2 linked regions of the Drosophila melanogaster genome follow. The protein of the gene in region 2 interacts with the protein of the main gene of each other region in a pairwise test. Each region holds a gene or a part of one and is shown on either strand. Other genes may lie near its edges.

Evidence for each region. Proteins that work in one complex are often made in the same cells at the same time.
Region 1: the proteins of gus (region 2) and CG14589 interact in a two-hybrid assay, tested with the Drosophila melanogaster proteins (one large-scale study listed by BioGRID).

The regions. Positions count from the first base shown.
Region 1 is NT_033778.4:6,135,304-6,138,931, reverse strand, and holds CG14589 (uncharacterized protein), read right to left. Parts: upstream 1,630-3,628; 5' UTR 1,506-1,629; coding exon 1,119-1,505; intron 944-1,118; coding exon 672-943; coding exon of another isoform or gene 667-671; intron 615-666; coding exon 524-614; 3' UTR 521-523; downstream 1-520.
Region 2 is NT_033778.4:5,125,285-5,129,839, reverse strand, and holds the start of gus (gustavus), read left to right. Parts: upstream 1-1,518; 5' UTR 1,519-1,614; intron 1,615-2,316; exon of another isoform or gene 2,317-2,437; intron 2,438-2,497; exon of another isoform or gene 2,498-2,591; intron 2,592-4,555. UniProt on the Drosophila melanogaster protein: Involved in the localization of vas to the posterior pole of the oocyte. Required maternally in the germ line for efficient primordial germ cell formation.

The sequences.
Region 1 (3,628 bases), 1.0 Mb from region 2:
ATAAAATGGAGAGTTCTGGCACAGTGGGGGAACGAAGAAGAAAGCTAAAGAACCAATCGCTAAATTCTGCCTTGATAAGTCATCGTCTTAGCAGTCGCAGTTGGAACAAACAGACGACCGACTGGTAGACAGCTATATTTTGCATTTTGTTTTCGTTTCGTTTCCGCCAGATGTTGTCGCGAAGGCCATCGAAGGGAGGAGAGGGCGGTGCGTTTAGGAAATTGGGAGGCGGTAGGTGGTAGGTAGTTAGGCAAATAAAACCGATTATCTGTGGTCCAAAGCACTGAGCTAAAATTGAATTTGGAATATGAATCGAATTGAAATAAATAACATTACTAAGCTAATTTTTATTTCCAGCTTAAAGGCTACAAACAGTAATCATTCTACAGATTCTACGTTTCAAATCGAAAAACAAACATGTGAGAATAACATAATTATCTTAACTGCAAGGATAGTGACAAATGTTTTGACCGAGGTTTGCGCTATTTCCGTTTAAAAACAATGGAAAAGTAGAGCAATTAATTTAAATATATTTGTTTGAGCTTTTTTCTTTGCGATCAATACAACAATCGAGATTTATGTTTGCATATAACTTAAAACTAACTAGATCATGCCTAAGAAAAAGACAACGATTATTAACATCTCACAAATTGTTACTTTACTCACCTTGCAATTCGGCCAACTGCTCGGTGCTCATAACAATTGGGAGAATCTGCTTGGTGGTGCTGCTGGGATCTATCGAATTCGGATCGGCAATCGGGCTCATATAGCACTTGCGCATCCTTAGATACTGCAGCCAGACATTTTTGCCCTCCCCGGAAGCTCCTTTCTCGCCATGGTCATGGACGTTCAGATTGATTTGACTATCGTTCAGAAACATCTGGCGAGTGAGATGGAAGTGGCTGTTGGTGATGTAGATGTTCGGCTCGGCCGGCCTTGGTTTCTGAGCAAAGAACAATGAATTGTTAATACACTTTACATGTCTCGAGGTCAATTAGATCTTTACATAACATGGCTAGCAGTGTAACAGTGTCTTTGAATGGAAAATAATATTGCGCGCGATTTTAAGATCAATAGATTCTCAAATATGTTGGTTGTTTTGTGTTTGTTTTGTTAACCTGTTCGTGCATCACGGACAGCATATAGTTTTCGCTGATCAAGTGGATGTTGTAGTCTCGCAGGTCCACCATCAAGCGCTCCATACTCAGGTTCTTTTCTCGCAACTCGCGCACCTGTGCGTCCAGCTGGCTTTTATCGTCCTCATAAAGCTGGAGGGTCTGCTCCCACTCGTTTTTGATCGTGCGGACGTCGTACCATTGCTTCTGGCCAAGTAGCCGCTGGCACAGAAAGAGCTCCACGAGTTGGGTTAGCTTGGACAGGACGTAGATGCACAGAAATATCCACAAGAAGGTCACGCACAAGTTGAACACGTTCTTGCCGCGGAGGTCCGCGTTTACTCCTTGCTCATGCTCTAGCCCTTCCAGGATCGAGGATACGTTCCACATTGGTCCTTCTAATGTGTTGCTTTCCGTACTTGAAATTCTCGTGTTTTTGTTGTGTTTGCTTGAGATTACGGTGGTGGAAATACATTTAAGGATAAACAAACTAAACTCTACCCATGAAAGGGCTCTCGAAGCCTACTACTAAACGTTTAAAAGTTAATAACCGACAGTAATTAATGTTCTCATGAACAACGTAACTTTGCTGAGTTCGGAATTGAATAGTTCAAAGAGCGTATTCATTTAATAAAATTTAATTCACTTAGGATACTTTTTGAACGTGGTATGTATACTTTGAAAATTTAATTTGATTTTATTCGATTTTAGTAGCGGCTAACTATTTGGACTGTTTACAATATGACTAGTGTTAGTAGAGGTGTTTCTAATATCTAATACTTTTTTTAAATTAATTTTTCGTTGATTTTGTGTTTGTTTGTGTGCGTGTCTGGGGTTTCCCATTTTATGACTTAATTAGCCAAAACACCAATATAATAATGAACCGCAGCAACTGCGTCAAGATTCGTGCATTGAACTTTGGTGGGTTTTTCACAGGGATTTTATTTACAGAATCTCCTACAAAATTTTCCTTGAGTAACTGCACACTTGGTTTACTGTCGCTTAGTATATATACAGAAGGTAGCGATCCTTAACTTTATCCTTTGTACATACATTCTTGATCAAAGCAGATTACCAGCCGAGTTGATTACCACTCCCAAAATCTGCAAAAAATTGTTACGCTCAGAAAGTTGAATACTTCGATTTAATTTGAATTTATTATTTGCCAATTTCTATTGGAATTTCAAAAAATATTTAAATATTCATTCTTAAAGTATCGTTTATATTATTTAAAATTTGATTTGCCTTAAACTCGAAACCATTGTTTCTGTTGAATTAAGAATTCCTTAAAGGAAAGAAATGGGCTCTAATTAGTTGTTTGACATGCATACATAGTGCTACTGCATAGCAGCCCAATCCACACTTGATTAAATATGTGCACTTTAAAAATAATTATAACAAATGTGCCTTAGTGTTCGTTGGAAGGCCTAAGGGGTAGGACTGGGTGGGTGGGAGCTTGGGGCGACCCCAAATACGGACGACACAGACTGCGTTGTGGCAAGTGCATCGCTATTTCTGTAGCCAGAAGCTTTTTACCAGCCAACGTTGTCAGGTGCTTACTGGAGCATCAGTTCCTAGCCCCCGGGAAAAGCAGCAGCGCGTGCTGCAATTACAGCACCCAACGCTTACAGCTAAGCCAATGAGTTGGCACTTGCGCTAACAACAAGAGCTCAGTTCCCCCAGCCTCCTGAATACTGATGAGTTTTTTGTTTTGGCCGTACTGCGTTCCAGTTTAACTGTGCAGGAAATAGTTATCGATAACTGGCGCGACAAGGGCACGCCAATTATGTACGCACGCTGGTTTTCTGCTTAGTATGCAATCTGAGGGACTAGCTGCCAGTGAGCATTATGATCAGAATTGTTGACACCCAGGATGCCAACATCTACATACATAGTGTACAAAAGCATTAGGAGCTCGGTTGGTATTACTCCAATACCAACAAGGCTTACAATTGTCACTTTTAATCAAATAATGTCATGCGAGCCAACATAAAAACAAGAAAAATTGGAATATTTGCACAGGGAAATAAAAAATATCATTGTGCCTCTAAAGCCCCCAATAATTTGTTTTACCTAGGAAAATATCAAAAAATTACATATATGTTTTATTCAACTTTTATTTTCGTCGACAATCTATCAAATGTCGGTATGCAGACGTTTAATTAGCTCTCGTATTTATGTATGTTATGCGCGCACGTTTGCACAGACAAAGAATAAGGATTTATTTTCTTTACTCCAAGTCCATCAGGGCCAATTCTAGGCTGGTCTGAATATGGATAATGACCGAATCCTAGTCCAAAGCGATCTCGGCCTTTAAATCCTATTTGCCTTTTTTTACTGTTAGGGGTAGATGGATACGGCCACTGATCCTGCTTAACAACACACCATAAAATTTATAGTGTCAGAAAAAACTCAAATTACCTTTTACAGATTTCTTAAAGAATCTAAATTATCTTGTATATAACATACAAGATTAGATTAGTGTTATTTCTTTGAGAAAATTCAGAACTAGA
Region 2 (4,555 bases):
GGAATTGAATTCTTTAAGACTGGTTCTCCAAATGCTGCTCCCATTTCGCCAGACTTTCCGGATCCAGCTTTTGGATAAGTACTTGGGCGATAATTCATCCAACGATTTGTGTCGTTGAGCCCATTCCATTTAGCGCGCGAATATGAGCGTTGAATTTATCACACAGTTTACAAAGCATTGAAACGGAACCATTCTGAACTGCCCTTGCCCTAGAATCTCAGTAATGTGTGCCTGGAATATTAAACAAACAGACAAATTCAATGCTATAGCATAGTTGCCATCCGATATTTCAAGTGCAGTGTCCCTCAGACATGTTCTTAGATGCTGCAACTTTTCTATGTTTGTTAGTTCAGGATGGCTATCTATTATCGTAGTAAACATAGAATAGAAGTCCAGCCAGATAGCTCGCCCAAGAGGGGGCAGCGACGTCCTATGCCGGAGTGCTACTTAATTGAAGTGTTAAAGCTTTAAACAGCTTTGCGAGCTTGTTGCAAATTATTGTTTATTAGCTGTTTTTGAGCAATGAAAAGACGAGTTTTGTGTAGCGATTTTGAACGATATGTTTAATAATAGCCGACATGTAAAAAAGATTTTGTCAAAACTTATACATGAGAAATGTTGTGTAAATTTTTGAGAAATTAATTGAAAAATGGTAACATTAAGGACAGTTGTTGAAATTAGGTACAATATTACCATTTGTAAGCGTATGTAAAACGAGCGGTAGAATAACAGTATATTATCGTATCATACGTTGAACGAACTGAGAGGCAGTTCAGTCGCGTAAAGTCAAAGCCAAGAATGTAGAAGGAAGCACATTGCCGCGCGGAGTCGCAATAAACAATCGGATGTCATCAAAAAAAGTGCAACCTGCAAAAACAATATATGGCAGTTAAGCATCTAATTATTCTTTATTATTCTTTGAACGAGCCGTATTCGGTAAGGAGAACCCGGTTTTCAATTAATAACGCCGAGTAAAATAAACTGTTTTAGTTATTTTATATTTATATTTTTTTATTTACCCGTTATTCAGCTAATGCCAGCTTTTGGCATAAATATTAATAAAATGAAAAATTGTTTGGCAGTTTAGGCGTAATGCGACAGTAGGTAAAATGTGCCTGTCATACCGTAAAAACAAGCGAGACAGATAATTGTTTTTATGAATTATTACAGTTTTTTGGTTTGGGTAAACCAAAAATTTGCAATTGTAAACTTATCAAGTTACTTTTACGCATGGGGTCAATCAGATACCTTTAATTTAAAAAATTGTAATATGGTGATAAAATGAATAACTTCATTTAAAAAGATTTTAAAATTTGTTTAATTTACATTATGTTGTGCTAAATCTTGAAACGGCTTGACTTAGAAAGTCTTTACCAAACTTCGGTCTTTGAAGTTAAATTAAATTATATAATTTCGAAGAAATTATTAGTCTTTTCCAAAATCCCACTCATTCCGCACATGACAAAAATCGTTACATGTCACAACACTGTTGATGTACGGTATAAGTGGATATACAAACAAATGAATGTTTTGTGCATCAAAGGTTCCTGAGTGATATTTTGCTTTATGTGTTGTTTTATTTTAATCATAGCAAATCGACAAGATAAAAGTAATGTAAGTTTCACAGGAACTGATAAATGAAATTCACACATATCTAACGTGGGAATTGATCAATTAATTATAAATATGGAATGTAAGAACATATGTATGTTCATATTTATAAACGTTAATCAGATAAAAATTTGAGATATGTGATAAAAATAATTATATGTGAAAACTTATCTGTACATATTGAACTTCATGTATTCAATCTCCTTGGATTGAATTTGTATGAGCGTACAAAAACACTATAAGAATATTAATTAGGAGTGAATCTGATATCACCAAAAATACATACATACGTAATTGCATACAATCTTAAAGATTTGTTGGAGAATATATTATAGGGAAGGAAGCGTTTCCCTAATGCATAAAGTATTTAAGCATATGTATATAAATAACTATATTATTGATCAGGATTACTAGACAAGTCGATCTGGCCATGGGCTTGCTTCAGTTATATGATTTTCGAATTTTTTTTTTATGAATAGTTCGTCGGTGCTGTAGCAACTTTTCATTTATTTTCTATTAACTTTAACAGTAAAGTTGAATCAATACGAAATTTTGGTTAGTATAAAAATTACATTTAAACCAAGACTGCATCACTACTTTTCTTTTAAAAGGTAATATGCAGGCTTAACTCAATGAAGGCGGCGCAAGCCGCTTTTACACTAGCATATTGTTAATTCACACAATGTAAAGTTTACTTTAACTTACTTCACTACATCCTTTAGTCATTCAGACTATACGCTATTTGTTATACTCGTTATACCCGTAGAGTAACAGGGTTCCTAGATCCGTTGAAAACTATGTAGCAGGAGGAAGGAAGCGTTTCCGACTATATAAAGTATATACAAACATATGTAAATACATATATTCTTGATCGAGACAATCTGACCATGTCCGTCTGTCCATATCAGCATCAAGATCAGCCAAAATGTTGAGATTCAGCATACAGATTCTAAAAACATAGACGCAGCGCAAGTTTGTGACCCATGTTGCCACGCAAACTCTAACGCCCACACACCACACAAAACTGTCAAGCCCACACTTTTAAAAAATGTGTTGATATTTTTTCACATTTTTTTTAGTCTTGTAAATTTCTATCGATTTACAAAAAAAAAATTTCTAACGCCCTTAAACCGCCAAAAACTGCCACGCCCACATTTTTGAACAAATTTCTGGATATTTTTCAATAATTTAATTAGTCTTGTAAATTTGTATCGATATGCCAAAAAACTTTTTGCCACGCCTAATCTAACGCCCTAAAACTTCCCCAAACTGTCACGCCCACACTTTAAAAAAATGTTTAGATTTTTTTTCATTTTTGTTTGTCTTGCCAATTTTTTATCGGTATACCAAAAACACCGTAACCACGCCTCCCCTTTTACCAACAAAACGGTCACGCCCACACTTTTAAACCATTTTTAAATCCTTTTTATTTTATCTTTATCTATCGATATCCCAAAAAATGTATGCAATTTTACGTTCGACTACAGCATTCTGTTTTGTTTTTCTCTCGATTTTTTGGTGCTGGCTCTAGAGATGGCTCCAGGCTCTCTCGAATGTTTGTTTAAGAGCCAGAGTGCGGAAAGATATACAGCCAGCTGCCCTCTTCGGCTGTCACTGTATGCGTAAGAATAAAGGAGACAATGATTGTTGGGTGCTTATGTTCGCACTTCGTGTCTCAAGAAATCATTTTTGCAATAAACAGTCAACGTATTTTTATATATTGTATATACAGTTTGTCAAGAAACTGTTTACACACTGTGAAATAAGTTGAATTTTTGACCTTAAAGGTAAAAATGTTCAAACGCTATTTTTTTATGAAATATATTTTTGTTTTACTTATAAATCAAAAAACAAATTATAAATATTAAATATAAAGAAAAGAATTTTGAGACTGTCAAGAAACTCTACGTTTTCTTTATGTGTTTAATGTATGTATGTATGTTTTTATTATTATTTAGAAATTTATTTTTTGAAATGTAATTTTTTTTTTAAATATTTCACATTGCAACTTTAAAAATTGATGTCGCAAAAGATGTCGTCAGTCCCGTTTTACATATTATTAATTATAAACACAAATTAAGATATGAAACATTTATATGAAACACTTTAAAAATCTAATAGTCAAGGCATACATGTTTAAATATTATTTGAGTAGATCATTTTGCAACGAAATTGCCCGAAACTCTAAATATGTTATATCGGATCTTAGATCAAAATTGATTTCTGCCCGAAAATCGTCTTCTAGCACAAGTACGCACACATACAAACATTCTCCAAAGACGCTAGTTATTCTAGTGTCTTTGCTTTCTCGTTTATTCTTTTAGCACACACAAGCAAGTGTATTATTTTTTTCGATTTTATACCGCTCTCAATTTTACTCAAGCGGAGAGAGAGCAATTTTGACCGTCAACAAAAAAGTGGCTGCATAGTGCAAAACCAATGAATGGCCGTTACGCATCTTGTAATTCTATTGTCTTTGCTTTAACTCGGTCTGTGAAATCAAAACAATAAGGAATTCAATAAGACAACTAGCTGTACAAGCTTTAGGAATGATACGAATAAAAGTGGTTGGCACGCTTTAAATAGCTTTTATGTCGAAATTTTTTTTTTTCGATTTTCCTTTTACTTGAAATCGATCGATACGCTAACTAAGTTTTGAAATATCTTCTTGCCTCGCATCTAAATATCGGATTCCTGGTTGTCTTGATAATCTGTGATTGTTCTGATTATTATATGATTAATATAATACTATATATATATATATATATATATATATACAGTATTGCTAGTATGTTTTCACATTAGTAAAAAAATATATCTTCATAATGTACTACCATAAGTAATAAATATTCAAATTTGCTTATATTCGATTCTTAAGTTTGAAAGCATTGGAAAAACAGTTTATATAAAACACGAAAAGAGACAGAAAAGAATCGCGTGGCGT